4 linked regions of the Astyanax mexicanus genome follow. The protein of the gene in region 1 purifies or fractionates together with the protein of each later gene. This does not show direct contact. Links are inferred from orthologs where the notes say so. Each region holds a gene or a part of one and is shown on either strand. Other genes may lie near its edges.

Region 1 (7,199 bases):
CACCTGAGGAAGGATGGAGAGATTCTAAACACAATCCTAATGTTAGAGAAAACACTACAAAAAACAAAGACCAAATAAGCCAAAGATGTTGAAAAGTTGGTTCTTTACAACAATTTGTCTGTCATTGTAAATCAAAAATTTCCCTATGTGACACATACTGAACATCCTGAGAGCATCACAGGACAGTCTGTGAATCTGTGTACATTCATCTGACTTTACAAAAATAAATTTAGAGAATATGGAAGTGTTGGGTTTGGGCTGGAGAGAAAATTTAATTATTTTAAAAGTGTATTTTTGGCTTATACAGAGCTGCTTCAACCATTTTATCAATTTGCATGTTTTAATCAATCATTTAACAAGTTCTGACACAAGTTCTAAATCAAAATGTTAAAATACAAGGTATAAGATAGTTGTTTTATCATTTATAGTATATTATAATTTAACTTTAAAACAATCACAGTCATGTGGCCACAATAAGAGAAAAACATGAATGAGCTGCTCACTGAATTTATCTGAATATTTTTTTAATTTGGTATAAGAATTCAGAAATGTGTCTGGGCTCTTATAGTTTAAAATGAATTAGTTATTATATAGTATAAACTATTTAGTTTTTTTACATATTCAGCCGAACATCAAAAGCATTAATTTTTGGCCATTTGGGCCGAAATATTTGATATATTGCCAAATATTCTGTGACATTACATAATCAAGTCCTTCTTGATTCTGGTCATATTTGGGTTCTCTAAGTAACTGTGGTGCCTTCTCTGCACAGTCCCTCTCTCTGGTGTTGGAACGCTACGGGAAGTTGGAGTGCCCATAATTGACCAAGCTTCGTGCAACACCATGTACGCGATCCAGTCATCCAACTCAGAGAAAGTGGAAATTCTCTCAGATATGATCTGTGCTGGATACCAAGAAGGAGGCAAAGACTCATGCCAGGTAGGAGCTGCAGTGGAGCTTTGAACAATAAAGGTCTAGGCCATATTTTCTGTCAGTAAAAAAGGGGACAGCAGCTGGGTTCCTGGGTGTTGGCCCTGTCTTAAACCCTATCTGGGTGAGATTAGTTTCTCAGTGGGTCCTGGGGTAATTTTCTCTTTTATGGGGGTCCTCTGTAATTTTATTCCTGTTCTGAACGACCATGTATGTGTTTTTCTCAGACGTCCTCTTAGAAAATTACAGGCTGAATAACCTACTGTTTTTCACAAAGCTCCGTGGTCCTCCGGTAATTTTAGTCCCGTCCGGATTACATCTCTTGAGTTTCAATAGGAAAGTTACTGAACGCAATGTCATTAAACCGAGAAAGCCTAAAAACTCACTGGTCCTCCTGTTTTTTATTGCAGCGCGGATGCAAGTGTTTTATTACTGAGTAGTCCCCCTGAGAAACTAATCCTGTCCAGAAAGGGCTATAGAGAGATTGCAGGTTTAATCCCTGTTGACAAAACAGCCATCTGTGGTTTATACTGTGCCAATTGTGATCTATATTTTAGGTCAAAGAAAGGTTAAGGTCTTATAAATCATCATATAACGTTCATATTCCTTCTTCTGTCAGGGCGACTCTGGAGGACCCCTTGTTTGTCCCGTGGGCAATGGGACGTGGATTCAGGCAGGGATTGTGAGTTTCGGACTGGGATGCGCTCAACAGAACAGACCTGGAGTTTACGCCAAAGTGTCCAGTTTTGCTAAACTGATCCGCTCCACGGTGCCTGAAGCCCAGTTGTTGGGACAAGCGTGGATTTGTGGGGCTGAAAACCTTCTGGTGCTGAGTCTAAGTGTAGCATCAGTGCTACTGGGGACACACTGGACATGTTAACAGGAAGTGTGTAGTTTTGTGTCAAAAGACAGTAGGAAATGGAAGATCCCCCAAGACACAAAAAGATGTTTTAAATAAATAATTATTAACAATGGGTTAGTATTATATGTAATAAATGGACAATTTCTGGAAATTGGAAATACTGGATTGTGAAAAGTGATCACTTTTACCAGAGGAGAAACTATGCCTTTGAATGCTAATCCAGCCAATACTGAACTACAGTATGTAAATGTTCAACTACATCAGCTAAACACTGGTCTTTTCTTTCTGAGCCATTTCTCATGTGCTATGATAAAGGTGACTACAAGTTATTGCTAATCAATGCAAATGTTCCTAATTGATTTTAGTAACGGCTGTTTGGGCAGATTAGTTTCCAAATGGGACAGTAAAGATATGTTTTTATACTACACTACATTCTTCGATTTACAAAAAAAAGTTAAGCAAAGCTAATTTAATGATGCATGATTGTCTGATGGGTCAATGATAATTGATTTTAATATTGTATGTTTATAAAGCAGATGTTGATTGATTAATGTTTCATTTATTGCCATATACACTACATTTTAAATGTTTTGTTTAGTTTCTTTTCATACAAGGAATCAGTTACCATAACCAAAATACCTTAAATTGTATTTTTATAATTTTAATTTTTATCTTTGAAGTAAGTGAAATAACGATGTGACTGAACTTTACTGTTTCCTATACTATACTGTTACTATTCTGTTGAGCATTTGTTGTGGGCATTGCTATCCATAAGGTTCCAATAAGTTCAATGCTTTTAATTTTTTTTTAACTTCTTAAAAGTCTATACAATGTTGAATTAGGTTTTTAAGCTGTGCAGTGTTTATGAAGGACCTGTGTCCTGAAGCAGGATAATGTACATTTGATGAATGAATACATCTGATGAAGGAATCAAATACATTACATTCTTAAGTGTTGCCTGATTTTTTTGGTTATTTATTTGCAGCTTTTATCTCTGTAAAGGTACCTCATTAGCTCATTAGATTTAGCTAATTTGTATTTTTATATTTAGCATCTTTCATTAGATCCATAGCGTATCCTTTCATTATGTAACGTTTTCCAGGCTCTGAAAGGAACAGGAATTTACTGAAAAAATACTACACTACTTTGTCAGTGGAAAAAGAATGTGAACCTTTTAAGTTTTGTAGATAATTTCATGGTAAAATTTGAGTCTGGGGTTTTCAATAATAGGGATGACAATCAGGAGTGAGTGAGCATCCTCTTTTATTTATAGAACAAGTCTGACCTTCACAATAAATGTTTATGGAAGGTAAGTGTATCAAGCATTAATAAACAAGATTTCTGAGGGGGTTGCAAAACTATGAAGAAGTTTCATAGTATCTAAGAAGTTTGTACAGACAAAGATCTTTGAGAACACAAAGGCTTACCAAAGGTAACTTCTAAGCAACTAAGGGCCTTTTACACATTGGCTCACATTGGCTCTCTTACAATGTTAATGTTAATGGGTCCACCATCAGGAGAACATTAAACAACAATGGTGTGAATAGCTAGGTTGCAAAGAGTAAGTGTCAAGAGAATGTGGGTCATGCAGCAAGACAAGGAGCGACCCCAGTTGCTGATCTAAGCGACCCCCAAGAAATAAACTTAATAGGTAAAGTAATTATTTTGATCTAGTAGAAATATTGTGGCAGGACCTGAAGCAAGCAAACGTTGAGTTGCGGTTATTGGTGAACAAGAGGGTCACGCCAGATACACGAAGCAGTATTAAATTCTAATAAAAGTGTCTAAAAGTTTTTTTTTGTTTGTTTTGTTTTTACATGTATGGTACAATCTGTTAAATACAGATTTGGGAAAAAAGAGACCACTTAATTACCACCAAATTAAAAGCCTCTGGAATATAATAAAGAGGAAGATGGATGATCACAAGCCATCATACCAAGCTGAACTGCTTGAATTTATGCACCAGGAATGGCATAAAGTTATTCATAAACAGTGTGTAAGACTGGTGGAGGAGAACATGACAAGACGCATGAAAACTGTGATTTAAAAAACAGGGTTATTCCACCAAATATTGATTTCTGAATTCTTTAAACTTTATGAATATGAACTTGATTTCTTTGCAGTATTTGAGGTCTGAAAGCTCTGAATCTTTTTGTTATTTTAGACATTTCTCATTTTCTGCATATAGATATCATATTTTAAATGACAATATTTTAATTTGGATTTTGAGAGAAATGTTGTCCGTAGTTTATAGAATAAAACCACTTTGTTCATTTTAAACAAAAATACCTGTAATAGCTAAATCAGAGAAACTGATTCAGAAACTGAAGTGGTCTCTTAATTTTTTCCAGGTGCGCAGCGCCACCCTCAGGCCGACAGTGAGCAGCACAGGCCGGTGTCACTTCAGCCGGGCACACTGAGAGGAGCGGAGCTCTATTTTCTGTAATTTAAGCTGAACTACACAGTATTTATTTAGCTTTATCACCGAATATAAAAATAACAGCACAGTCAGGCGTTTTACACTTTATTAAAGTGTGAACCTGGTCATGGCGTCGAGCGGTAAGTCCCTGTCTGTCTGTGTTTCTGTTCAGTTTCGGGTTTTCCAGCCTTAAGCTGCGTTTCTCATTGATAACGGAGGTAGCGTTAGCTAAGCTAACTAACCTAGCCAGAAAATCTGCCTGCAGTCCCTCAGGTGTACTGACAATACACATGGCCTTTTGAGTCACTGCTCGTTAGTTTTAAGCGCATGAAAACAGCGTTTCTGTTATTAACAGGCTTTTATTCTCTAACACCCCCTACAAGAAGATGTCGGGCTCCGCCATTTTGTTATTCAAAGTGATATACTGACCTACTTTCAGACCTGGGGCTCAAAACCTTCGATATTTTAGTGTTATTACCTTTATAGATATTTCTGCGAGTGTTTGTGCAGATATTTATCAGTGTTTGTCTGTTAATTAAAGCATTTACTTATCCCTGCAGATTATCCCCAGACTGCCGGCCATGGAGGGTGAGTGTGTCCCTGTGTTTCTCGGGGTTTTTCAGTTGCTGGTGTTAAAGCTCCTCTATAATAAACAGCAGCAGCAGCTCAGGAGACCAAGACCCCCTTAAACATCACCTTAAAACCACCAGCAACACATTCTACATCAGGGCTGTCCAAACTGCGGCCCGCGGGCAATTTGCGGCCCTTTTCCTTTTTTGGAGCGACCCGCGAGGTATTTTAGTAATAGAATGAAAGCTGGCCCGCTGTTAAACAGGTTTTTATAATGTGAGATTCAACGTTTGAACGCTAGGTGTCAGAAACGGGCCAAAGAGTTTAAAAGCGGAGAGGGTGCGTATTTCTAGCGCAGAAAAACGGGGTAAAAGAGTCTAAAAGCGGAGAGGGTGCACATTCCTCGCGCAGAAAAACGGGCCAAAGAGTCTAAAAGCGGAGAGGGTGCGTATTTCTAGCGCAGAAAAACGGGGTAAAAGAGTCTAAAAGCGGAGAGGGTCGCATTCCTAGCGCAGAAAAACGGGCCAAAGAGTCTTAAAGCGGAGAGGGTGCGCATTTCTAGCGTAGAAAAACGGGGCCAAAGAGTCTAAAAGCGGAGAGGGTGCGCATTTCTAGCGCAGAAAAACAGGGTAAAAGGGTCTAAAAGCGGAGAGGGTTCGCATTTCTAGCGTAGAAAAACGGGGCCAAAGAGTCTAAAAGTTGCCGTAATTAAGGAGTTTAATATCAAGAGACATCATGAAATTAAACATCAATTTGAAAAATCTTAGTTTACACAACACTGTCAAAGATAAAGATAGTAAGGCAAGTAAAATGGTGTGTAAATGAAATAATCAGGAAAAATTATTTTTTAAAGTGGTATATTTCATTATTTGTTTAATTACGGACTGTGGCCCGAGAAAAACGGGCCAAAGAGTCTAAAAGCGGAGAGGGTCGCATTCCTAGCGCAGAAAAACGGGGTAAAAGAGTCTAAAAGCGGAGAGGGTGCGCATTCCTCGCGCAGAAAAACGGGCCAAAGAGTCTAAAAGCGGAGAGGGTCGCATTCCTCGCGCAGAAAAACGGGCCAAAGAGTCTAAAAGCGGAGAGGGTCGCATTCCTCGCGCAGAAAAACGGGGCAAAGAGTCTAAAAGCGGAGAGGGTGCGCATTTCGAGCGTAGAAAAACGGGGCCAAAGAGTCTAAAAGCGGAGAGGGTTCGCATTTCTAACGTAGAAAAACGGGGCAAAAGAGTCTAAAAGCGGAGAGGGTGCGCATTTCTAGCGTAGAAAAACGGGGCCAAAGAGTCTAAAAGCGGAGAGGGTTCGCATTTCTAACGTAGAAAAACGGGGCAAAAGAGTCTAAAAGCGGAGAGGGTGCGCATTTCTAGCGTAGAAAAACGGGGCCAAAGAGTCTAAAAGCGGAGAGGGTTCGCATTTCTAACAGAAAAACGGGGTAAAAGAGTCTAAAAGCGGAGAGGGTCGCATTCCTAGCGCAGAAAAACGGGCCAAAGAGTCTTAAAGCGGAGAGGGTGCGCATTTCTAGCGTAGAAAAACGGGGCCAAAGAGTCTAAAAGCGGAGAGGGTGCGCATTTCTAGCGTAGAAAAACGGGGCCAAAGAGTCTAAAAGTTGCCGTAATTAAGGAGTTTAATATCAAGAGACATCATGAAATTAAACATCAATTTGAAAAATCTTAGTTTACACAACACTGTCAAAGATAAAGATAGTAAGTCAAGTAAAATGGTGTGTAAATGAAATAATCAGGAAAAATTATTTTTTAAAGTGGTATATTTCATTATTTGTTTAATTACGGACTGTGGCCCGTGACTTCAAATATATTTCTCCTTCTGGCCCCCAACAAAAAAAGTTTGGACACCCCTGATTTAACGGCTCCTACCGCTGCTGCTGCTGGAGCCCATATAAGGAACCAAATAAAACTAAAAGAGACAAAAATATTATACCTGACAATTAATTTCTAGAAGAAATTCTATTCTGTCCTCTCAGAATGGACACATATCCAATCGTACATATTAGTCAGTGGCGAAAGAATGTAAACCTTATTAGCAGATAATTAAATGGTAAATTTTTATGTTTTAAATTTTTGAATTGAAGGAACAGTTTATAAGATTGAGAGAACACTTTCTTAAATTTGGAAGATCGGTTAATTAAATTGAAACAGTGTATTGTAAAACTGAGAGAATAATTAATTTAGAAAGACAGCAGTTTGTGGTCTTTGTATCATTAAAATATAATTACAGGAATACACAGTACCAATCAAAAGGTTGATCACACCTCATTTAAAATGTTTTTTTTAACATTGCATAATTAATATTATACGTAATATAATAAAGCTTTACAGACACATATATTTATTTTGTAAACAAACCAGAATATGTTTTAATTTTAGTTTTAGTTTACATTCTTCTAAGCTACACACATTCAGCTTT
Region 2 (7,337 bases), on another chromosome or scaffold:
TCAATTAAGCTACTATCGTTTCTCTAAACCTCAGAATTCCACAATATACTCGTACACAGACAGATTTTGATTGTGACCGATTTTATCCCCTGATTTTATCCACACAATTTCATTGCTGGGTTGTAGTGTTAAAACTTGGTTACCTGCTCAGATGGTGTTGGAGTGAGATCTTGGTTGCGCTTCAGAAGAGCCTCACTAAATGCAGTCTCATCAGGTGCCGGCTTCACTCGTGGAAAAGCCATCTCACACTGGAAAAGCAAAATTTGGTTTATGAGTACAACTGTCACTACAGTATCTACATGTTAAGCGCCTTAAAAGCATAAAGTAAAAAATTACTTACAACATAAAAGTCAAACGGTATGTGTGGGACAAAAGGGCGGTACCTGAAAGCCAAACAAAAATGTAAATAATGACATAGCAGAACTGAAGCAATGCTTAAAGCACCTTGTCTTTGTTGATGGAATACATGTAAACATCAAATAAAAACTGAAAAAATATCAGCCACGACAGACCACCAAATCAGGGAGGGGTTCCTTTGGAGTTGTCTGCATAAACAGACCTAATTCAATTTTGCAGTTCATTACCCTGTTTAAATAAGTTTGAGTAAAGAAATCACTGTGCTTAATATCAAATCTTCTGAGTTAACCCAAAAGAACCAATATTGACATGTCACACACCCCTTATGAGCATTGTCTGTCATTTTAACTCATACAACCCCTAAGTAACATACACCCCTAACACAGGATCACATGTCAGTTTGTTAATGCATCTGACCTTACTTACAGAATGCAGGAATTTGTGCTTCAGGTCTAATCCAACAATTTTAACAATTAAAATGCTTCACTTAAAGGTTTTAGATAACTAGTTCTGATGACACTGTTTCTAAGACAAAACATTAGAATAGAGGTAATGAAATTGTTGTCATTTGAGTTACATGAGGATTTTAGCTGTAAAATACTTACAGTTGTCTGAACAAAGTAAAAAAGAATGAGAATGAGCTGCGCACTCAATTTATCAGATGTAATTTTAAATTTGATATCAATACTTAGAAGTGGGTCTAGGCTTATGTTTTTAACCAATGGTTCTCAAACTGTGTTAGCCCCAGAGCCTGTACACATTGTGAGATCCATTAATTCAAGACCCAGCTTGGAAACCAAAATTAACACAAAGCAAATCTAACGGTTTTGATCACATTATCTTACCCCTGAACTAGACCTCCACGGGAGCCGAAGCGACCACCACGGCCCCTTCCACGATCGCCTCTGTTGAAAGAAGAAAGAAGCATGTTAGATAACTGGCTAGATTAGTCCAGTAACATAATCTAGGTTAGTGCACACAAACCCACAGCTGATGCTACTGTTCAAGGCATAGCATTAACAATCTATAGTATGAGTTATATTTTTGGGGAGAAAAAAAAAAAAATCACACCACTATATGGGAGATTTTTTTCTTTGAGAACTTTTGCTGATTATTTGAATCCCCACGGCTTTATCATGATGCCGATGCCAAAAGAGGTCTATATAATGTTGAAAAATAACTTGTTTTATTAAGCTAAAAGCAAAAGAACATAAAATGAATTAGTGCTGGGCAGCATACCGGTTCATATGGATAATATTACTGCACACTGAATTTATTCACACTACAGAAAGAAGGAAAATGAGGCTTTAATACTGTAGTTCCTCTAATGGCTTCAATAATAACATTGTAAACTAAAATATTAAAATTGTGTATTGCTTGATGTTATTGAGGTTTTTTAGAAATAGCTCTTGAATACTAAATATTTAGTATTTTAGGTCTGTTTACTGTTTAGTTTTAACTATTTATTTAGTTTTGTAAAGGAAGTTGTAGGCACATCTTTTTCTAAGGTCTATTGTTTACATTCATCTGTTTTTCTACTAATGAAGTCATAGGTTGTGTAATTTTGGGGAACAAAATACACCCAATAGTACAGCCTTAATGTTTGTATTCATAAACATTCATTAAGTCATAAACCTATATAAAAGCCCAGTCATGCAAATAAAATAAAATACAATAAAAAATACAGTAAAGCCGTCAGAATCTTGAAACAAATGTGACATCGATTTTTGGTCATAACGTCCAGCACTTATTAGAATATAAATAGCCAAATATGCTTCTTTACATAATTCTTGCACATCTAAGTAACATTATTTTTATTTATGATCCACTTGCACGCCTCATGATTTAGAACGCAGACATGCCATTTAACATTACATTAAAAATAACAAATACATAATAAATAAGCTATATAAATAAAGGCTATGGTGTAATAAAATATGTTTTGTTGCCTGAGAGCAACATCATGCCATAGAGGGTTAATTAAGCAGCCTGTCCAGGACTAGCTAGCTATCTTTAAGCCAGGCTGAACTAGTACACAGAAAACCATTAAAAAAATGGACCAATTACAAATCTAAGCACACTGAAATGAAACAAATTCATGTGTTTTCCAAGAACACAGACTGGTTATTTTAAATACACAGCTAACCTAGGTCAATATTAGCTACCCATCATCAATTTAATACCAGCTAACTGTTAGCTACACTCGGCTAAACTGGGGTTTCATTCATTCATTCACACACAGCGACGCGACGACGATTAAACACACAAATAGCTGCATTTACCCAGCCTTAAAACACCAACGAATAAACAACTCCTTTAACAAGACATCATACAGTAACACCGAGCAATTCCCCTGACTTCAGGCTAATCACCACGCCAGATATTAAACTAGCGAGCTAGGCTAGTTTAAGCTCATGCTAGCCTGTAGGCTAAAGGCCCTCAAAACGCCGATAAATCATTCTCAATAAATAACGATATTACTGCGCATTTCACCCCAAAAAACACGAATGTCACAAAACAGCGCAGATAGATATCTCACCTCATTGCGTAAGACGTGTTGGCAGCTTTATAAAACAGAGAAAAGATGAAAATGGGTCACCGGCACCCGGAGCCGCCGCTGCTGCTGAGACGAGCTGAGCTGAGCTAAAGCTGAAAGAGCAGCAGGGGAAACGGACAAAGAGCAGAAGTACCCCAAAATAAAAGTCCCTGCATGCTTAACCTACCGCACCCCCTTCTCTGCGGGAAAAAACACCTAAATAAAATACCTCTTACTACCAAATATTATTTATTTCGAATGGACGAATAAATTAATAAAAAATAATAACAGCTACAAAGAATAAAATAAACACAAATAAATAATTCCAATTAATATTAACACGCCAATGACCCATAAACAATTTTAGCACGATAGCTTTCACTGGTACAAAATGAATACATGGTTGTTAAATTGCGTGTGTGCTTTTTATACGTTTTTAATTGCATGCACTTTTCTATTTTATTTCACAATTAAAACACTTTAATTGTTTCTTATATTGAATTAAATTATAAAAAATGACTGACATCAGATTAGATTTGTCCCAGTCTTTATTAAACGTTTTTTAATGTTGTGTTAATATCCCTGCAATGTCACTTGTGTCAATGTTTTCATTTTCAATTTTGGGAATGTCACTTTAAACATTTCCATAATGTTAGTGTTCAACTAGCTGGGAAAGTTACGTTTAATTAACGTTGCAGTGCAAACCATTATGTTGTATGTTTTCAGAACATTCCTGGACCAATATTTCTGTAACATTGCAGAAATTTTACCTTTTCAAAACGTTGCTAAATGTTCTTACAACGTTCTCTGCTAGCTGTGACATCTGTGGATTTAATGTATGTGAATGGTATTATAAAGCTCTGTTTAATGCTTTACTGTCAGTTTTGAGTCATGCAGGTCCACCTGAAAGAGAAAGTGGGGGCTGGAGGTTGGAGGTGTGAGGGTTTAGGAGGGGTTGATAAGATTTAGATCTTAGTCTTAGTCTTCTTGTGGAGGCAGTAAGGGCTTTTGTTTCTCTGCTGTTTGCAGGTTATGTTGACATGTCGGCCTGTACATGTAGGCACATCCAGTGTGCACTTAAGTGGTTTGCAGCTGAGTGTGAACAGAACAAAATGAGAATCAACCCCTTCAAGTCTGAGGTGAGAAAGTGCATGTTCAGTAGAGGTGTGTTCTCTGTAAAGCAGGGGTGTCAGACCTGTCCACAGTGAGCAGGTTGTTCTACCCATCGATACATGCTTCCCAAAGGTACTGCGCATGCGCTGACATACACAATTTAATTATATCTCGTGTTTTTTATTTATAATTAATCTGTTTTAGAGGGACGCACTGTCATTGCACAAAAGTGTAAATGAAAACTAATAATTACAATTATTATAAATAAATACAAAAGCAGTTTGTAATGAGCTTTATTTGCCATACCTTTGCCATGATACAATGATTTATGCTATCCAAATCTAATAACGTACATATACTGGAATTTCACTGGGCCCTAAAATAGTGCTTTTTTGTATTTTTACACTTAAATATACATTAGGGCAGCACGGTTCGACAAAGTAGGACAATTCGACAGAACGGTGGTTCTGTGGTTGCAGGTTTACATTTCAGTCAAACAGATGTTGGAAGACTCATTAAATTAGAGGAATCGGGGCTGCTGCTTGTTGCTCAGAATTAAAACCTACTGTCACATCGGGTCAACATGGAATTAATCTGGCACGGGGTGCCCAAACCTTTAGAATTGTGAGGTGCTCTGAAAGTGTAAGATTATGCAGGATAAACAGCAGATGGCAGCAAACAGCACATTATTGGTCAGTGTTCATCTAAAAAAGACCTCAACTGGTATAAAATATTAGATAAATATCATACCCGTCAAGTTTTAGATTTAAAAATAAGGGATATGTTCCTCTGTCCGCCTAAAGCCGTCCCTCCAGCCCAACGAAGGTTCAGTATCCCTTACATTTTAAGACAGGTTTACAAAAAAATCTAAAATAACCACAAGTGAACCACTTACACACTAAAATTAGATTATCAGAATCTGAAATGTTGTGGACATTTCTACATGTGATTTTTTTAATACAGCCAAATTAAAATCCTTTTCTAGATATTAAAAAAAGTTAAGATTTCATGTCTTTTTTGCCATAAATGCACTCTTTTATATGATATATTTTTTATTTATTTAATAGATTTAAAATTGAACAAAGGGTGCACAAATTCTGCAAAATGACTGTAGGTGACCTAAAAATAGTATTATGAGCTTTTACTAAAAGGACATGGACCACATATATTCCATCAGTAAAATTAGTCCTAAGTGGCCTACACAATTAATACTTTTTAATTAATACTTCTTCTTTTTGATCACTCCACCCCTGATCAGTTCATTTCGGTCCTCTCCACATTTTAGTTAAGCTGAGTCAGCTGTAATTTTTATTTTATTTTAAAAGGTTTAATCTGTGTGTTTTATTTCAGAGACGAGTATTTTTAAGCAGCTATCAGAAAAATCTCCTCACAGTTTACATGATTAGACCTTTCTTAAAGAAAAATCGCTGAAAATCCAGATATGTTTTAACATCAGCAGCTCCGACTAGCTGCCTGAACTCACAGCGACTGAGGGCTTCACCACACTGACTCTCCTTTGCAAACTGATTGGCTGTTTCTCCTGAAAGGCGGGACTTTCTCCTTGAACCGGCTCCACGATTGGTTAAGAGACACAGAGCAGTCAGCTCCCTGTCTCCTTAATAATATATATTTTTTAATCTTAATATAATACGGGAAATTTACGGGAAAATACTAATACGGGAGGACGGCGGGAAAGAGGAGTAAAATACGGTAGTTTCCCGGCCAAAACGGGAGACTTGACAGGTATGAAATATTTCCTCTCAATAGTGTCTGTCACTATTAATTAAATCCAGTGTTTACCCATGAACAGATTTTAGTATGGAGTTCTGCACATTTAAACAAAAAAAAGTCTACAGGAGTCTACAAAAGAAAATGTATATAATGTAATTGTACCACTAGTTATGAAAACAAAGTAACTCCAATAGACCAACAAATGAATACACAGTGAGAAAACGTTTAAAATGTTTTTAGCATTAAACTATGAGTTAGAAGTGGATCGTACTGTGTCTGTGTCTGTATAAGTAATCTGCTCATTAGGGCCTGTAAAATGTATCCCTGGATCGGAATATGTTTATCCTGTATGGACAATTCTTCCATTTTATGTTCCCATTGTATAAATTCATATTAGAAATACAAAGTAATGCTTCAGATAATAGCCATCAAAAAAAATCAAATTTGATTTCATAATGTCCATGAAAGAAAAAAACATCAGTTATTTTCTACTTTAGCTTTTTCCCCTAGGCCTGACTGTATAAAAAGTCATCACAGTATTCACAGTACACTAAAGTGCCTCTTATACTTGCTGTTAAGTATGGGTTGGACAATATATGGATACTGCAATATATTGCAGTATTGGTTAGACTGGATTATATTGGTATGTGAAATCAAATATCTATATATATTTGTTAAAACATATTCACTCTAAACTCTCCCCCAATTTGACTTACTGTTTCATTACTCCACATTAGTTGTCCAATTCTGTGAAACCTTCACCAATAAATTGATAATTCCTGCTATTTGCTTATTTAGGAGTATTTTATCTTCTTCAGTAACACAGATGCTGTGAAGAACCATAGAGAATTGTGTTGTGATATATTAAGTATCACAGAGTCAAAGTAGTTTGATACCATTTTTACCATGGACAGCATGGATTGTGATAATATTGTATCATGAGATGCCCTGTTATCCTGTGATTCCCACCCCTAATTTTGAATAATATTAAATGAAACAAATGCAGCCCACCTCAGTGACAAGAAAAAAGGAAGAAATCTTGAAAGAAAAAACTGAATTACATTTTATAAAATTCTAAAGCAGCAGGGGCAGTGATTTTGCAGCAGTTGGCTGCTGATTCAAAGTATATAGAAGAAACACTGTACATAACTTTATATACTTTTCATAAACTCAGCATTTACCATCTTTTAATTATTCATTTGTTCATTAAAACCTTGATCTTGACATAGCTCCAATAAAAGATAAATTTTATATTTTCAAAAGTTCAGATGGTAAAAATATCTCTGGTTCAAACTGAATAGGTGTCCCTGGGAGAGGGTAAGAATGATCACTTTTGTATGTATGTGCGTGTGTGCGTGCGTGTGTGTGTGTGTGTGTGTGTGTGTGTGTATATGTGTCCCTGAGGGACGGCATACACACGTCTCCCCTACTGTCATCAGACTACAGCATGTGTCCGACCGCCGCACCGCTGCCATGACAACAGCATCCGTCATGACATCAGCACCTCTGTCTGACTCATACTGTGCAGGTCTGTGCAAAAATATGCTGTGCTTTGTGTGTGGATGTGTGTGTGTGTGTGTGCTTGTGTGTATGTGTGCGT
Region 3 (7,509 bases), on another chromosome or scaffold:
AATAATCAATGCTTAGTCTAAATCTGGGAAGCAAGTTGTCGTCAAGTGCTTGAAGGGTTAACCACCAACACAGTGATATAGAGCAGGATTATGTATAGACACTGCATACTCCTCAGCATGGACATGGATGGGAGTATGAAAGGGAACAGCTGTGTGACATTTACCGTCTGCAAAGGGGTCATGGCGCTCAGGAGAGATGATCATCTTTTGTCTGCGTTTCTTGTACTCATCTTCACGGTCCGAAATCTTCTGCGGTCTGTGCTCAGCAAAAGGATCATACTGCAAAAAAAGGAGAGAAAAAACAAGTTAAAGATAATTAAACTCACCTAATGTTGCATATTTTAAAACATCTATAAATAGGAAGTGTAACAAAGAGTTGCATTAAATTACCTGCTCATCTGACTGAGGAATGGCATTGAGTATTGCCACTGGAGCATTGTACCCCGGCTTCTTCTGCCCAAGTAAACTCGTGGAAGAGTCCTCTTCATCATCCTTAAGAAAAAATAAAAATGTTGGTAAGATACAGTCTGTAAAGGTTTTGTCATATTTTAAGCACATATGATTTAGAAAATGTATGTGTTGCTTCTCCATGACTCATCTTATAAGCATATCAAATTAACTATTTGTACAACTTACTTCCTCCTGCTCGTTTGCTGCAATAGAGGTGACATATCCGGCAAAGCGGCTGTCGCTGCCTCCGTAAATCTCCTGGTCGTAATATCCAGTGGAATCAAGGCCGACACCCTGCTCTCCTTCCTCCAGCAGAGCTGCCTTCATCCCCTGGATTTCCAGGATCTGCGCCTCAATGTCTGAAAATAGAAAACAGGGAAATACCGTATGTTGAAAACATGACATCTGTTCAGACCCACACACCAGAAATGTACACAGGTATACACAGTAGGGCATGCAATTAATCTGGACACCAAGAGTGCACATACACAGCATTAAAGCATTAAAACTAATCAGATAGTTTTCAAAACAGTCCATGATTTGAACTTTATTAATTATGTCTGATCACAGAATATTACAGCAACACAATCTTTTTAAGCAATTGACAACTAAAATAAATGTAACTTAGTTTTGCTAATATTGTATTCATTCTCTTATTTACATTTACATATACACTATTAAAAGCTTAATCTTAAGAACACTACATGATCAACCATGATTAAATCACAAAAGACTGTAGTGATTTATTCAATATTTCTTTTAATCAAGTGACACCTCTAATAACCAACTTCAAACTTCAAAACAAAAAACATATTAATCATATAATTTATACGTCTTTGCTTCTTTTATGTGTATTTTGTGTTTTTTTTCTGTATTTGCTGCTTGTCTTGTTTGCTTCTGCTTATTTTGTTTTTGCTTTTTTTGTCACTTCACCACATGATCAACCATGATTAAATCACAAAAGACTGTAGTGATTTATTCAATATTTCTTTTAATCAAGTGACACCTCTAACAACCAGCCTGTTATTTACTAGGGGTACAGAATACAGTCAAAATTTATACCAACCTATTTTATGTATGAAATGAATATATGTTAATTTTGGTCAATACGATATAATACTAATATAACTAATAAACCAATAAAAAACATTTTTAGCAATGTAAAACTCAAAACCTGTGGCGTATGTCAATCACCCACCTGGTTAATATAATAAAAATATTATTTTCCGCACACACGTTTTTGTGACAAGCAGACAAAATGAAGCAGTATTAGCAGACTCTGCCGGTTGAAGACTTTTATATTTTATATGGACATTTTTATTGTATAAACCATCGCGAAACAGTGTTCTAGATCACGTTAAAATTGTAAGAATTAGCTGTTATATAGCCTCAATGGCTCTAGAACTTGTTTTTCCAGTGCAGTAGGCGGGGCCAAAGGTTTCATGTGTTTATAAACGTATTCAATAGCTGGTTCATGAACTATTCTGAAGGACAAGAGCTCTTGAATAGTGTTATGTGCAACAAAACATTTTGAAAAATAAAGAAAATTAAGTTACATGGTGTTTATTGTAGCTTAACGGATGCAGGGTCTGAGAGGATTACGTTAATACTTAGGAAATCGTGTTCTTATTGCAATGCCATTAAGCTACAAATTATTCGACGTTAGCTATTTAGGTAACGTTACTAACATGTTTGATACCAACCAATATAGCCATAATATAAAAAGAAAATATATATATAACCCAAAGAAACCACTAATAATGTAGTCAAACCGCTGAATGACTTCAGACATGCTGCCCATGTTTTGTTAGCATCTTAGCTAGTCAAAAGTAGTTAGCTTAGCTAACTAATCTGCACCAACGGGCTACGTACTAAACTATCTAACTCGCTAATTTTCTTGTTACTAATTAAGTGAGCCTTCTGCTAACGCTATTTTGAGCCACACAAAATATAAAGCTTACACTAAATCAGTATTAAACCGCTAAAACGAAGGGAATCACGCTGTATTTTGTGTAATGGGAGCAGTTAGCTTTAGCTGGGTTAGCTCACAGAGCGCCATTTTGAGCAGGGCCACTAACAGGCCGCGCACAGCAGCGCTGGATCCTGCGTGAGGGTTCTGTTTTTAATCACCACAGGCTGTCCGACTATAATTTCCCTCAAATAATGCTAAGGTATTCTTTTACACATTTTTCCGCATGTATAAAAAGATACAGAGCGAGTCTACAATGATTTAAACCGCCTGTATCTGCGGTTCATTGGCGGCTTTAGTTAATAAAGCGCTCAGTCGCCATGTTCTCTTCTGCGCCTCGTTCGCACTACGATGGTTCACTTCGCAGCAGCAGCAGCAGCTAATTTCTCCAGTCATGCCACGAGAACCAGCCAGCAAACCGTTAAGAAAACGTATATGTAGCCTGTTCACACCGCCTGTACTGAATATATGTAATATACGCGCTTACCTTCATGTGTTTTGGCGATCTTCGCCATCGTTGCGTCTGTGTGAAAGCGCCCGGAAGGCCTCACTACTCAGACTATGCTCAGCGGCGCATGCGCAGTACCCACAATGGGCGTAGACATAAACACGCTCAGAGGCAGAATCACTTACAGAAGCTTTTATTTTAAATTAATTTAACTTATTTGGGCAGTTAATGTACAGAGGTACTTTTTGTATACACCTTAAACAAAATTGAGACATTAAATACATTAAAAAACGTATATACATATACCTCCTGGTAGTTATATACAGTGGGGGAAATAAGTATAAAATATAGCCGCAAGCGGCAATCATCGGGTTCAAGCACCAACTGGCACAATGGTGCATACTAGAGAACTGAATGGTGATGTGTAAAAAGGGCTAATATGATTGGAGATGCCCTGTCACATTTAGAGATTATTAAAAAATTTTCACCTGTTATTAATGTTGAGCAGAAGCCTTTCAACGTGATCAGTGCTTAAATTGTAAATTGTAATTGTAATGTCAATCTAGTGAAGTTTGTAGGATATTCATCAAGTGAGTTAGATCTAGTCAAAATGTGTCTACATGTTATTGGTATTGATCAGGTGGTTTCAACCAGAATGTTTACAAAGTGGTGTTCAGATTGACCTTTTGACCTTTGCAAAACAAGCTGAAATGTTTTACCAAACAAGTTTACATTAACACAAATGAGTTCATTGTCTGACATGACATGTAATTACAAAGTTATTCTAAATCTAGTTCTGAATTAAATGGCGCTTCATCAAACAGCAACTGGCACAATGGTGCCTACTAGAGCATAGGATGGTGATGTGTAAGAAGGTGTAACACAATTGGAGACACTCTGTCACATTGAGAAATTATCAAGTCTTTCACCTGTTATTAATGTTGAGAAGAGGCACAAAGGAGTGCATGTTCTGATATGACATGTAATTACAAATATATTCTAAATCTAGTTCTGTATTAAATGGCGCTTCATCAGAGTGATATTGTACAGAGGTCTTTGACATTGTGAGATTACAGCAAATACTGCAGAGTTACAGCAATTTAGGTTGAAAATTTCAAGGACGCTCAGACTGCTTGATGCCTGGACACTATTGTATGTGAAATTTTCACAAATGTTTTTATTGAATCTTAACCTAGAGACTCTACAGTGTGCAACAAGTCTGAAATGGCGGTGATAGGCCAAATATCCAGAGACTAGTATCAATATTGCTATTTTCAAACAATTAGCAGTTCTGAATAAACAAAGCACTTTTTAAACATAGTTGTATTGACAAATTTGTCAGAGCCACTGTACTAAATATGGCACAAACATTTAGATGTCAAAATAGTATAGTATGATTGACATGTATTCGATTTGTTGGAACAGCGCCCCCCAGTGGTCGGATTGTTTCAGCAATTTGCAGGTCACTACAGCGTCTCCACCTGAACATAACTGCCAAGTGTCATCCAGATTGGGCAACATTCAGCCTGCCAAAATGTCTGCTGAATGCTGATTGGCTGATGGTGTTCAGCCATGTTGATTGATTAAGTTGCCCTTTGAACATCCTTTAGAGGCTGTATGACAGATTCTGCATGCAAAGTTTCAGCTTGCTAGGTTGCACGGTTGCTGAGAAACAGTGTTCCAAATTTAACAATTGAAGTGAATGGGGCATATATCCGGAAGGACTAATTTGCATATGGTGGCCATATTGTTTACAAATTTCAACTTTTTCTTAATGAATATTGAAGGCCATGCTCTCACGAGTGTTTTGATACCAAACATGCCAGGATTGATCAAAATTCCTAGGACTAGTTCGCAAAAGTATGTTTTGCATATTATGCAAATTAGCAAAAAATCTATATAGACGGAAGTGCATGGTCCAAATTGGAAAGTTGTAGGTATTGACCCAAGGAATCCATCAAACAAAGAATTTTGAATGTAGGTCTTATGGTTTTTGAGTTATTGAGAAAATTGTGAAAAATGAATTTCCTTGTTTATAGCGCCACCACTTGACCAATCGGTGCCATTTTTGTTGTCCACCGAGATGCACTGATCCTACATCTACCTACCAAGTTTCATTTCTCTATGACTTACGGTTTAGGCTGCACAACTGTTTTTACAGGAGAAAAAGAATAATAATAATAAGAAGAAATATAGCCGCAAGCGGCAATCATCGGGTTCAAGCACCAACTTGCACAATGGTGCCTACTGGAGCATTGAATGGTGATGTGTAAGAAGGTCTAATATGATTGGAGATGCCCTGTCACATTTAGAAATTATCAAGTTTTTCACCTGTTATTAATGTTGAGCAGAGGCCTTTCAACCTGATCAGTGCTTAAATTCACATGTAAATCTAGTGAACTTTGTAGGATATTCATTAAGTGAGTTAGAACTAGTCAAAAGGTGTCTACATGTTATTGGTATTGATCAGGTGGCTTCAACCAGAATGTTCACAAAGTGGTATTCAGATTGACCTTTGAACCTTTGCAGAACAAGCTGAAATGTTTGACCAAACAAGTTTAAATTAACACAAAGGAGTGAATGTTCTGATATGACATGTAATTACGAAGTTATTATAAATCTAGTTCTGAATTAAATGGCGCTTCATCAAGCACCAACTAGCACAATGGTGCCTACTAGAGCATAGGATGGTGATGTGTAAGAAGGTCTAACACAATTGGAGACATTCTGTCACATTTAAAATGATCAAAAGTCTTTCACCTGTTATTAATGTTGAGAAGAGGCACAAAGGAGTGAATGTTCTGATATGACATGTAATGTCAAGTTATTCTTAATCTAGTTCTGTATTAAATGGTGCTTCATCAAAGTGATATTGTACAGAGGTCTTTAACATTGTGAGATTACAGCAAATACTGCAGAGTTACAGCAATTTAGGTTAGAAATTCCAAGGACGCACAGATTGCTTGATGCCTGGAGAGTATTGTATGTGAAATTTTCACAAATGTTTTTAATGAACATTTACCTAGAGACTCTACAGTGTGCAGCAAGACTGAAATGGAGGTGATAGGCCAAATATCCAGAGAGTAGTTTCAATATAGCTATTTTCAAACAATTAGCAATTATGAATGAACAAAGCACTTTTTAAACATAGTTGTATTGAGAAATTTGTCAGACCCACTGTACTAAATATGGCAAAAACAATTAGATGTCAAAATAGTACAGCATGATTGACATATACTCGTTTTTTTGGAACAGCGCCCCCCAGTGGGCGGATTGTTTCAGCACTTTGCAGGTCACTACAGTGTCTCCACCTGAACATAACTGCCAAATATCATCCAGATTGGGCAACGTTCAGCCTGCCAAAATGTCTGCTGAATGCTGATTGGCTGATGGTGTTCAGCCATGTTGATTGATTAAGTTGCCCTTTGAACATCCTTTAGAGGCTGTATGTTAGATTCTGCATGCAAAGTTTCAACTTGCTAGGTTGCACGGTTGCTGAGAAACAGTGCTCCAAATTTACCTCTTGAAGTGAATGGGGCATATATCCGGAAGGACTAATTTGCATATGGCGGCCATATTGTTTACATATTTCAACTTTTTCTTAATGAATATTGAAGCGCATGCTCTCACGAGTGTTTTGATACCAAACATGCCAGGATTGGTCAAAAATCCTAGGACTAGTTTGCAAAAGTAGGTTTTGCATATTATGCAAATTAGCACAAAATCTATATAGACGGAAGTGCATGGTCCAAATTGGAAAGTTGTTGGTATTGACCCAAGGAATCCAGCAAAAAAAGAATTTTGAATGTAGGTCTTATGGTTTTTGAGTTATTGAGAAAATTGTGAAAAATGAATTTCCTTGTTTATAGCGCCACCACTTGACCAATCGGTGCCATTTTTGTTGTCCACCGAGATGCACTGATCCTACATCTACCTACCAAGTTTCATTTCTCTATGACTTACGGTTTAGGCTGCACAACTGTTTTTACAGGAGAAAAAGAATAATAATAATAATAATAATAATAATAATAATAATAAGAAAAATCTTAGCAAAAACAATAGGGTTCTACGCACCTTCGGTGCTTGAACCCTAAAAATCTTAGCAATAACAATAGGGTTCTACGCACCTTCGGTGCTTGAACCCTAAAAAGTGTAGTTGGCAACTTCAAAACAAAAAACATATTAATCATATAATTTATACGTCTTTGCTTCTTTTATGTGTATTTTGTGTTTTTTTCTGTATTTACTGCTTGTCTTGTTTGCTTCTGCTTATTTTGTTTTTGCTTATTTTGTTTTTGCTTTTTTTGTCACTTTAATAAGTGACAAAATCAGATTTCAATCAGATTTCAACTGGGGCCATTGCTTCTGCTGTCTGAGATGGATTAAATGTTGGCTAATCAGGCCCCTAGTCGTTTATTAATTGAATGTTGTATAAAAATGCTGCCTGCTAAGGTGCTTTTATCTTGCAGATTTGTGAAAGCAACGTAGATGTATACTTTGCAGCCTTAAATATATTACATATATATATTTAATTGCCAGTGTGTCAGTGCAGTTATGTTACAATGCTTGTAGTAAATTATAGTAGACCAGAGATTGGAATATTGAAATATTGTGCATATTAAAGGAGTTCTGTAAGGTGATG
Region 4 (7,150 bases), on another chromosome or scaffold:
CTCAGAGTCTGTTACTGCTGCAAACGGGGCCAAACTCCTTTTTAATGCCCTTGATTTCAGAAAAAGAGGGAGTGAGCACATGTCTTCACACTATTGCACTAGTATTACAATACTATAACACAATGGTGCCTCCTTTCATGTTTTCCTCTCAGGGGAGCTGTTCAGAAAAGGGGGTTTGGGGGAGAAGCATCGTTTCATTCAAGGCAGAAATTTCCACAGAGGACATTATCGATTCTGGTTATCACATCACACCACTGTAATGCGGCGTCACCCGTAACAGCTTTGTTTGGGTTCTCTGGGGAAATGCTAAAATCCCCTGGAAATGACAAGATAGCAAAAAGGAATCATTGTTCATTTGTTCATTTTTCCATCTCTAATTCATTTAAACAAAGCTGATCTCACGTCTGTATTGATTTATTTTTGCGCACATCAGTTTTAAGCTGATACAGCATTGTTTCAACATTGTTTTAACATTATCGTTTTACTATATGTACTGTTTATAATAAACAGCATTTGCTTAAATCAAGTATGTTTGTATTATATAGTTCTTACAGCCTAAACTGTGCTCTTATATTGTAAAAAAAAGATGACATTTGAGGAGAGAACCTTTTGTCTAAAAGCATAATGGATTCAGAGAACCAACCATTGAAAGCCTTTAACTAAATAAACATTGGTTCAATGTCAGTTTTTTTTTTCAAGATGCCTGTGAGGTAATGTTCGATAAAGGTTGTTTTAAGGTTGTTTTTCCACCAAACGTGGAAAACATTAAAAAAATATAAAAACATGATGAAAGAAAACAATGTCTGTCTGATGTTATTTGCTGTCAGGCTTCAGCTCATGGCAATACTGTGAGTGTATAAAGTCTGGAACATTGTTAAGTGAACGTTGATTCAACGTCAGAATGTCAGCATTAACCGATGCCTGTGAGGCAATGACGAATAAAGGTTGTTTCAATGTAGTTTTTCTTCATTAAACTTTAAAATGATGTAATGATGATGTAATGTGACCAAAGAAAACAACGTTTGTTCAACGTTCTTTGCTGTCAGGGTTCAGCTCGTGGTTATACTGTGTGTGTAAACAGAAAGGAATCCATGACCAGTGTGAAATCCTGTGTCGCAGGGGACAAAACTCTCACACACACACACACACACACACACACACAATATAAAAACTATACACACACCTTCTCCCCGACATGTGGGTGTGATCGAATCTTCCTGATATCTTTTGTTGTGTGTTTATGTTTATGTGTTTTATGTGTGTGTGTTTGTGTGTGTGTGTGTATTTGTTATTATGTGTTTATGGATCTGTGTCGGTTGTTTAGCTGAACTCCGCTAACAGCTCTTCAGCCCCGCGGGTCTCCGGTACGCGGCCCGCCCCGCGGATTAAACACAACCCGCGGCTCACCTCACCGGATACAACCGGGAGCCACCTCGACCACCGGGGCCGGTCACCGCCGCTTTCTGCCGCCAACACCGATAACACGCAGATAATGTGTGGTTTTTGTTAGCTAATGCTAACCTAACTAACACACCTAACTCCGCGGACACCGAGCCGCAGCCGAACACCAGCGGCGTAGTTTCGCTATTTAACGGCCATAAAACCACAACAACCGCCCGCAGCCCTCCCCCACCGAGTCCCGCGGCTCCAACACCGAGCCCCGCGGCTCCCCCTCCACAGCCAGCCCAAACCCGCTCACCTGTCCGCCGCGCAGGGGCTGAGAGAGACGCGCTGGAGGGTCGGGCCGGGTCGGGCTGGGTTTTTCCGCGCGGAGAGACACTGAAGCTCGGCGGCGCTGCGCTCTCTGTCCCGCTCTCCTTCTCCTCCCACTACCGCTACTGCTGATCACCGACACACAACCGAGCGCGCGGTGAGACAGTGTGTGTGTGAGAGAGAGAGAGAGGGAGAGAGAGAGAGAGGGAGAGAGAGAGAGAGAGAGAGAGAGAGAGAGAGAGAGAGAGAGAGAGAGTGTGCGTGTGTGTAAGAGAAAGAAAGAGAGAGAAAGAATAAGAGAAAGAGAAGAGCTATAAAGAGAGAGAGAGAGATTAAGAAAAATGGAGATATATAAATAGAGAGATAAAGAGAGAGGGATATATAACGAGAGAGAGATAAAGAGAGAGAAATAGGGTAACATAAACAAAGAAAGATAAAGAGAGAGAGAAAAAAAGAAAGAGGGTGATATAAAAAGAGAGAGAAGGAAAGAAAGAGAAAAAGAGAAAGAGGGTGATATAAAGAGAGAGAAGGAAGGAAAGAGAAAACGAGAAAGAGGGTGATATAAAGAGAGAGAAGGAAATAAAGAGAAAAAGAGAAAGATAAAGTTGTTATTTTTTTAATTAATCATTTAGTCATGCCAATGAAGCTTCTTTGAATTGAATTGAATTAAAGAGAAATTAAGAGATATAAAGAGAGAGTGAGATAAGATAAATAAAGAGAATATTTTCACTAGTTTATCTATAGTTTATGGTCACAGCTCGATGTTAACCCAGATCCTGAAGCTGGAGTATTTCCAGTTGGTCTGTTCAGTTTATTTTATTAGTGTTTGAAATGTAAACTATTATAAGGCAGACAGGTTTTAACAGCTGAGCCTCCCCTTAAATCTGATCTGTTTTCCTATCTTTTCCTAATATCCTGCTCTTCCTCCTGGGATTTGTTGCAACATGTTGAAAAGTGCTTAACTGAGCGAAGTGCCTTCCTCCCTCTGTGATCTTTCTCACTCAGGAATTATGGGATTATTCTGCTTTCAGGTGGTTCTGTTTTTATCAGAAAAATGAGATTCACACCAGCAAGCTCTCAACATGAAAACTAGCAGTATTTAAATGCTTTTGAGATAACATTTAAAACTGACTTTGGTTCTGATTGGTTGTCCTGTATTGTGCCTACCTGTATAAAAAAGTTATTAAAAGTCCAAATAAAATTTTCTTTTATTAGTTTAGTGTGTTGGGCCAAACCACCATAGGTTGAGCATTTTCCCACACATTAGTGTTAGCTTGTGCTGAATGGCAAAACACTTAACTGAGAGAAGCACAAAAGTCATTATTTGAAAGTAATTACATCCCCCTCATCTGCTGACTTGCCGGACAGTAGGTACAGATCCCTCCCTCAGACGAAGTCTGCTGGCTAATACTGCGGTGTTCTGTCTGAGGTTCTCAACCAGCAGACCGAAATGGCATTTCTTTAACTGATCCAGTGGGCGGGGTTCTGGTGGGGGTTGATGGGTGAGGGGTGGAACCAGGGTGGTTTTATGCAGGTTTGGGAGGCTTTCAAACGGCTCATAAAAGGATATGAATTTTGCTCAAAAAAGATTGAACTAATTATTTTCCGCATATTATATCTTTAATCGTTCAATAGATTCAAAAGTTATACATGCAATTTTATGTATTTGTGGTATGTGTTCTAATTTAACTAAAGTGTCATCTCAAACCTTTCATACATGTGTTTATTTCCAGTCTCAGGCTGTTTGAAGGCCAAGCATGAAAAAATATAAAGTGGGAGTGGCTAAATGTAAAAACAAAAACAGATAGGATATGAGAAAGCTTTCCAACATTGTGTCATCATTGACAACAGTTTACCAGGTCTTGTACACACACAGTTTATCTCACTATCACGGGCAGCTAGAGGGCACCACATCACACTTCATCATGTTACTTCAGCTGTAAGAGAACCGTATCCAGCACTGCATCCAATTTACTCTACTATAAAGGGCAAAATTTAATGTATGCACAAAAATATAACGGATTGAAATCTAAAAAAAGGTTTTAAATTTTTCTTATTCAACGGTTCTGTAAAATACTTTGCTGCTTTCTTATAGTCCTTTCCTGCATTGAGGGTATTAATTAGTTGGTAAAAACCTATCTACAGATAAACACATATCACTGTATACTATACATAATATTTATAACAAATATGTGAGAAATATGGATTAGAATCTATCAGATAAAAAAGGCAGTGTAATGAAAAATAAAACAATGTGCAAGAGGTACAGATATCAGCAGACAATGAGAATGTTTATTACTGAATAAACATGGGCATATATAGGTATTTAGTACTTTTGTGTTGTGTTTTTGCGGCGCGGCGGAGGCGGAACGTTTCGGTCGGTTTACCGGCGGGAGTGAGTGAGCGGCGGACCGGGACCGGGGGTCGTGTCGTTACACGCGCGTCCGCTAGTTTAGCCGGTTTCAGTAGCAGCGCTGCGCTCAGTCCGGTAACAGCCCACAGTCCGCCGGTAAATCCCGGGATTCGGGCGATTTATTTAATCATGGAGACGATTTTAGAGCAGCAGCGCCGCTACCATGAGGAGCTGGAGCGACTGATGGACGCTAAAACTAAGGAGATGCTGCACAAGAAAACCACGGTAATTACAGCTAACCGGCTATCTGTGCTAACGGTGCTAATGCTAATCCTCTGTGTGTTTGAATGGAGAAGAGTAGCTACTTGCTAATTAGCTCCAGCTAACCTAGCCTTAGCATGCTAACAGAGCTCACTCAGGAGATGTCTGTGTAAAATAAAGTATATTTCAGTGTAAAATCTGATCAACTGAGGAAAATAAACAGCACTAGTTTGGATATTTAACTTTTATAGACATTTGAATTCTATATGTTTAACGTAATTGTCGTTAGTTTGTAGTTTTTTTGGTGCTAGCTAAGCGAAGCTAGCAAAATATCCATCTATCGTTAGTTAGCTTAGTGTAGCTTTATAAACACATCAGTTATTGTTCTGATTCAAGAATTTATTAAGATTTAGGATTCAAGATTTTTATTGTCAAGTCACAGAGAACATGTGTACAGGCAAAGAACAATATTTACAACAGAGTAGAATAATAAAACAAAAGTAAAATATACTGTAAACTTAAACTTGTTTATCTGTTTATTTATTCATCTCTTTCAGTTGCGTGACCAGATTAATTCCGACCATCGAATACGAGCAATGCTGGACGTAAGTTTCTTTTACTTCTGTATTATTAAAACCTATGCCTACATTTATTTATATCATTTATTTATATCTATATGCATGTCTGCTCTTGTTTTCTTTACACACAGAGACATATGGAAGTAAGCGGAAACCTGAGAGACTCCTACGATGATAAAGATGGGTAAGAACTGCTTGTTTTTCTCTGACTGCAGTTTATTTCACTGATACTAAACAGTGTTGTTCATCATAACTTGTAATTACGTCTTGTTAGTATGCGGAAGGAAGAGCTGAGCGCGATATCTGGACCAAATGAGTTTGCTGAATTCTATAACCGACTGAAACAGATCAAGGAATTTCACAGGAAACATCCTAATGAGGTACTGCAGTCTATCTTTTAAATTTAAATAAAATTACATGATTGCTGTACATTATCTTAGGGTGTGAATTACAGTTTAAAACCTTTTTACACATTTCTTTAATTTCACAGATTTGTGTGCCCATGTCGGTGGAGTTTGAGGAGCTGGTGAAGGCCAGAGATAACCCCAGTGAGGAAGCTCAAAGTAAGTAAATATTAACATTGCTTCTGTAAAACTTGCTGTGTTTATATTTATTACTCTAAATCACAGTAACTATTCTGACAGTACAAAGGATATAGTCAATATTTCTGCATTAGTAACTACATGAGTCATAAAGACACATTTAAAACACACAGAGAGTGTGTACTTTAAAGAATGAATAAAGAAAATGAATAAGAAGTCGCACTGTACCTCTGTAAACCATTAAGAAACATTATTATATATTTATGTATGTATGGGCGCATGTATCCTTTAACCAGCCCGAATCACGGCTTATGTTTTAACATCACTGTGTTTCTGTGTTGTGCAGATCTGGTGGAGTTCACTGATGAAGAAGGCTACGGACGCTATTTAGATCTTCATGACTGTTATTTGAAATACATCAACCTGAAAGGAGCTGAGGTATGATTTTCACTTTTTCTGTTTTTAACAGATATATATTATCTGTTTGTTTGCTAATGTGATGTTTTCCTCTGTTCCTGTTTTAGAAATTGGAGTATATCTCCTACTTGTCTTCGTTTGATCAGCTTTTTGACATCTCCAAAGATAGAAAGAATGCAGAGTACAAAAAGTAAGTCGAATTTCACATGGGAACATTGTGACCATATGTTGTGTCGTATATTACAGTGTTTATTTTATTTAATAGATTATAGATGGCTATTATTACATTGAACAATACTAATAAATGTTTATATGTGTATGTGTATTTATTTTATATACTGTATACAGTGGATGTCTTTAAATTTAAGACCATTTCTACCTGTAAGCAGTGGAGGTATCCTGTACTGAGCTTGTTTTGTGTTGGTCAGGTATCTGGAGATGCTGCTGGAGTACCTGCAGGATTACACAGACCGGGTGAAGCCTCTGCTGGATCAGAATGAGCTGTATGGAAAAGTTCTGGTTGAGTTTGAGAAGAAGTGGGAGAACGGAACCTTCCCGGGCTGGCCGGTGGGTTTATTTTTATAATGTGTTTGTTATAATAAAAAAAGTTTAATTCCACAGTAATTTAAGGTTAAAATTAAATTAACCCGAAACACAACAACATCTCATCATGAGTTTACAGCGTTACAGCAAATATTATCTGCTATTATTTGGGATTCTTATTTTTGGCGAAACAGACAGTTCAGAACCAGCAGGTCTCCTGTTCTGAGATCAGAGCGCTGATAAACAGCTGCAGATTGAATAATTACTACTGAATTAAACACAGATTTTTAGAGCAGACACGCCCACTCTAACCTCAACTGACCAATCAGCTTCTTTAAACAAAAAATATATATGTATATATATTTTTTTCTTTATCCATATCGCCCAGTCCTATACCAAATCATAAAAGAACATGTCAGATTTTGTCAAAGGAAAATGAGATAAAATGATTGAATGAGTTAGTGGAGTGAATAGATGCAGTACTGAGTAATGCTATGCTATGAAGCCGGAAGCCCAGTGAACCAGTTTGTGTAAATGTAAAGGAATAAGATTATATAGTTAGTTGTTTATTTGCGTCTCTGTGTGAAACAGAAAGAAGCGAGCAGCGCTCTGACCCACGCTGGAGCTCATCTGGACCTCTCTGCTTTCTCCTCCTGGGAGGTAAGACTTTCCATCAGGAACGCACACAGCTTTAATAGCTTTAATAGTTCATTGCCCCCTGAGGACTTTCATGAAGTGATCTT

The links.
Region 2: the proteins of fus (region 1) and ilf2 purify together in Homo sapiens (affinity purification with mass spectrometry; 3 studies listed by BioGRID and IntAct, with this or other methods). This does not show direct contact. The link is inferred for Astyanax mexicanus from reciprocal best matches to the Homo sapiens genes FUS and ILF2.
Region 3: the proteins of fus (region 1) and sf3b1 purify together in Homo sapiens (affinity purification with mass spectrometry; 3 studies listed by BioGRID and IntAct, with this or other methods). This does not show direct contact. The link is inferred for Astyanax mexicanus from reciprocal best matches to the Homo sapiens genes FUS and SF3B1.
Region 4: the proteins of fus (region 1) and sf3a3 purify together in Homo sapiens (affinity purification with mass spectrometry; 3 studies listed by BioGRID and IntAct, with this or other methods). This does not show direct contact. The link is inferred for Astyanax mexicanus from reciprocal best matches to the Homo sapiens genes FUS and SF3A3.

The regions. Positions count from the first base shown.
Region 1 is NC_064426.1:19,752,889-19,760,087, reverse strand, and holds the start of fus (RNA-binding protein FUS), read left to right. Parts: upstream 1-4,174; 5' UTR 4,175-4,338; coding exon 4,339-4,351; intron 4,352-4,771; coding exon 4,772-4,799; intron 4,800-7,199. Other genes in the region: si:dkey-16l2.17 (serine protease 33), read left to right, coding at 773-939, 1,550-1,810. UniProt on the Homo sapiens protein: DNA/RNA-binding protein that plays a role in various cellular processes such as transcription regulation, RNA splicing, RNA transport, DNA repair and damage response. Binds to ssRNA containing the consensus sequence 5'-AGGUAA-3'.
Region 2 is NC_064410.1:45,266,983-45,274,319, reverse strand, and holds the start of ilf2 (interleukin enhancer-binding factor 2 homolog), read right to left. Parts: upstream 3,017-7,337; 5' UTR 2,902-3,016; coding exon 2,897-2,901; intron 1,263-2,896; coding exon 1,203-1,262; intron 384-1,202; coding exon 341-383; intron 249-340; coding exon 144-248; intron 1-143. UniProt on the Homo sapiens protein: Chromatin-interacting protein that forms a stable heterodimer with interleukin enhancer-binding factor 3/ILF3 and plays a role in several biological processes including transcription, innate immunity or cell growth.
Region 3 is NC_064418.1:3,449,512-3,457,020, reverse strand, and holds the start of sf3b1 (splicing factor 3B subunit 1), read right to left. Parts: upstream 3,012-7,509; 5' UTR 2,935-3,011; coding exon 2,907-2,934; intron 810-2,906; coding exon 637-809; intron 493-636; coding exon 391-492; intron 280-390; coding exon 165-279; intron 16-164; exon of another isoform or gene 1-15. UniProt on the Homo sapiens protein: Component of the 17S U2 SnRNP complex of the spliceosome, a large ribonucleoprotein complex that removes introns from transcribed pre-mRNAs.
Region 4 is NC_064410.1:279,026-286,175, reverse strand, and holds the start of sf3a3 (splicing factor 3A subunit 3), read left to right. Parts: upstream 1-4,127; 5' UTR 4,128-4,255; coding exon 4,256-4,351; intron 4,352-4,884; coding exon 4,885-4,932; intron 4,933-5,036; coding exon 5,037-5,089; intron 5,090-5,179; coding exon 5,180-5,285; intron 5,286-5,395; coding exon 5,396-5,468; intron 5,469-5,793; coding exon 5,794-5,885; intron 5,886-5,971; coding exon 5,972-6,054; intron 6,055-6,292; coding exon 6,293-6,431; intron 6,432-6,998; coding exon 6,999-7,067; intron 7,068-7,150. UniProt on the Homo sapiens protein: Component of the 17S U2 SnRNP complex of the spliceosome, a large ribonucleoprotein complex that removes introns from transcribed pre-mRNAs.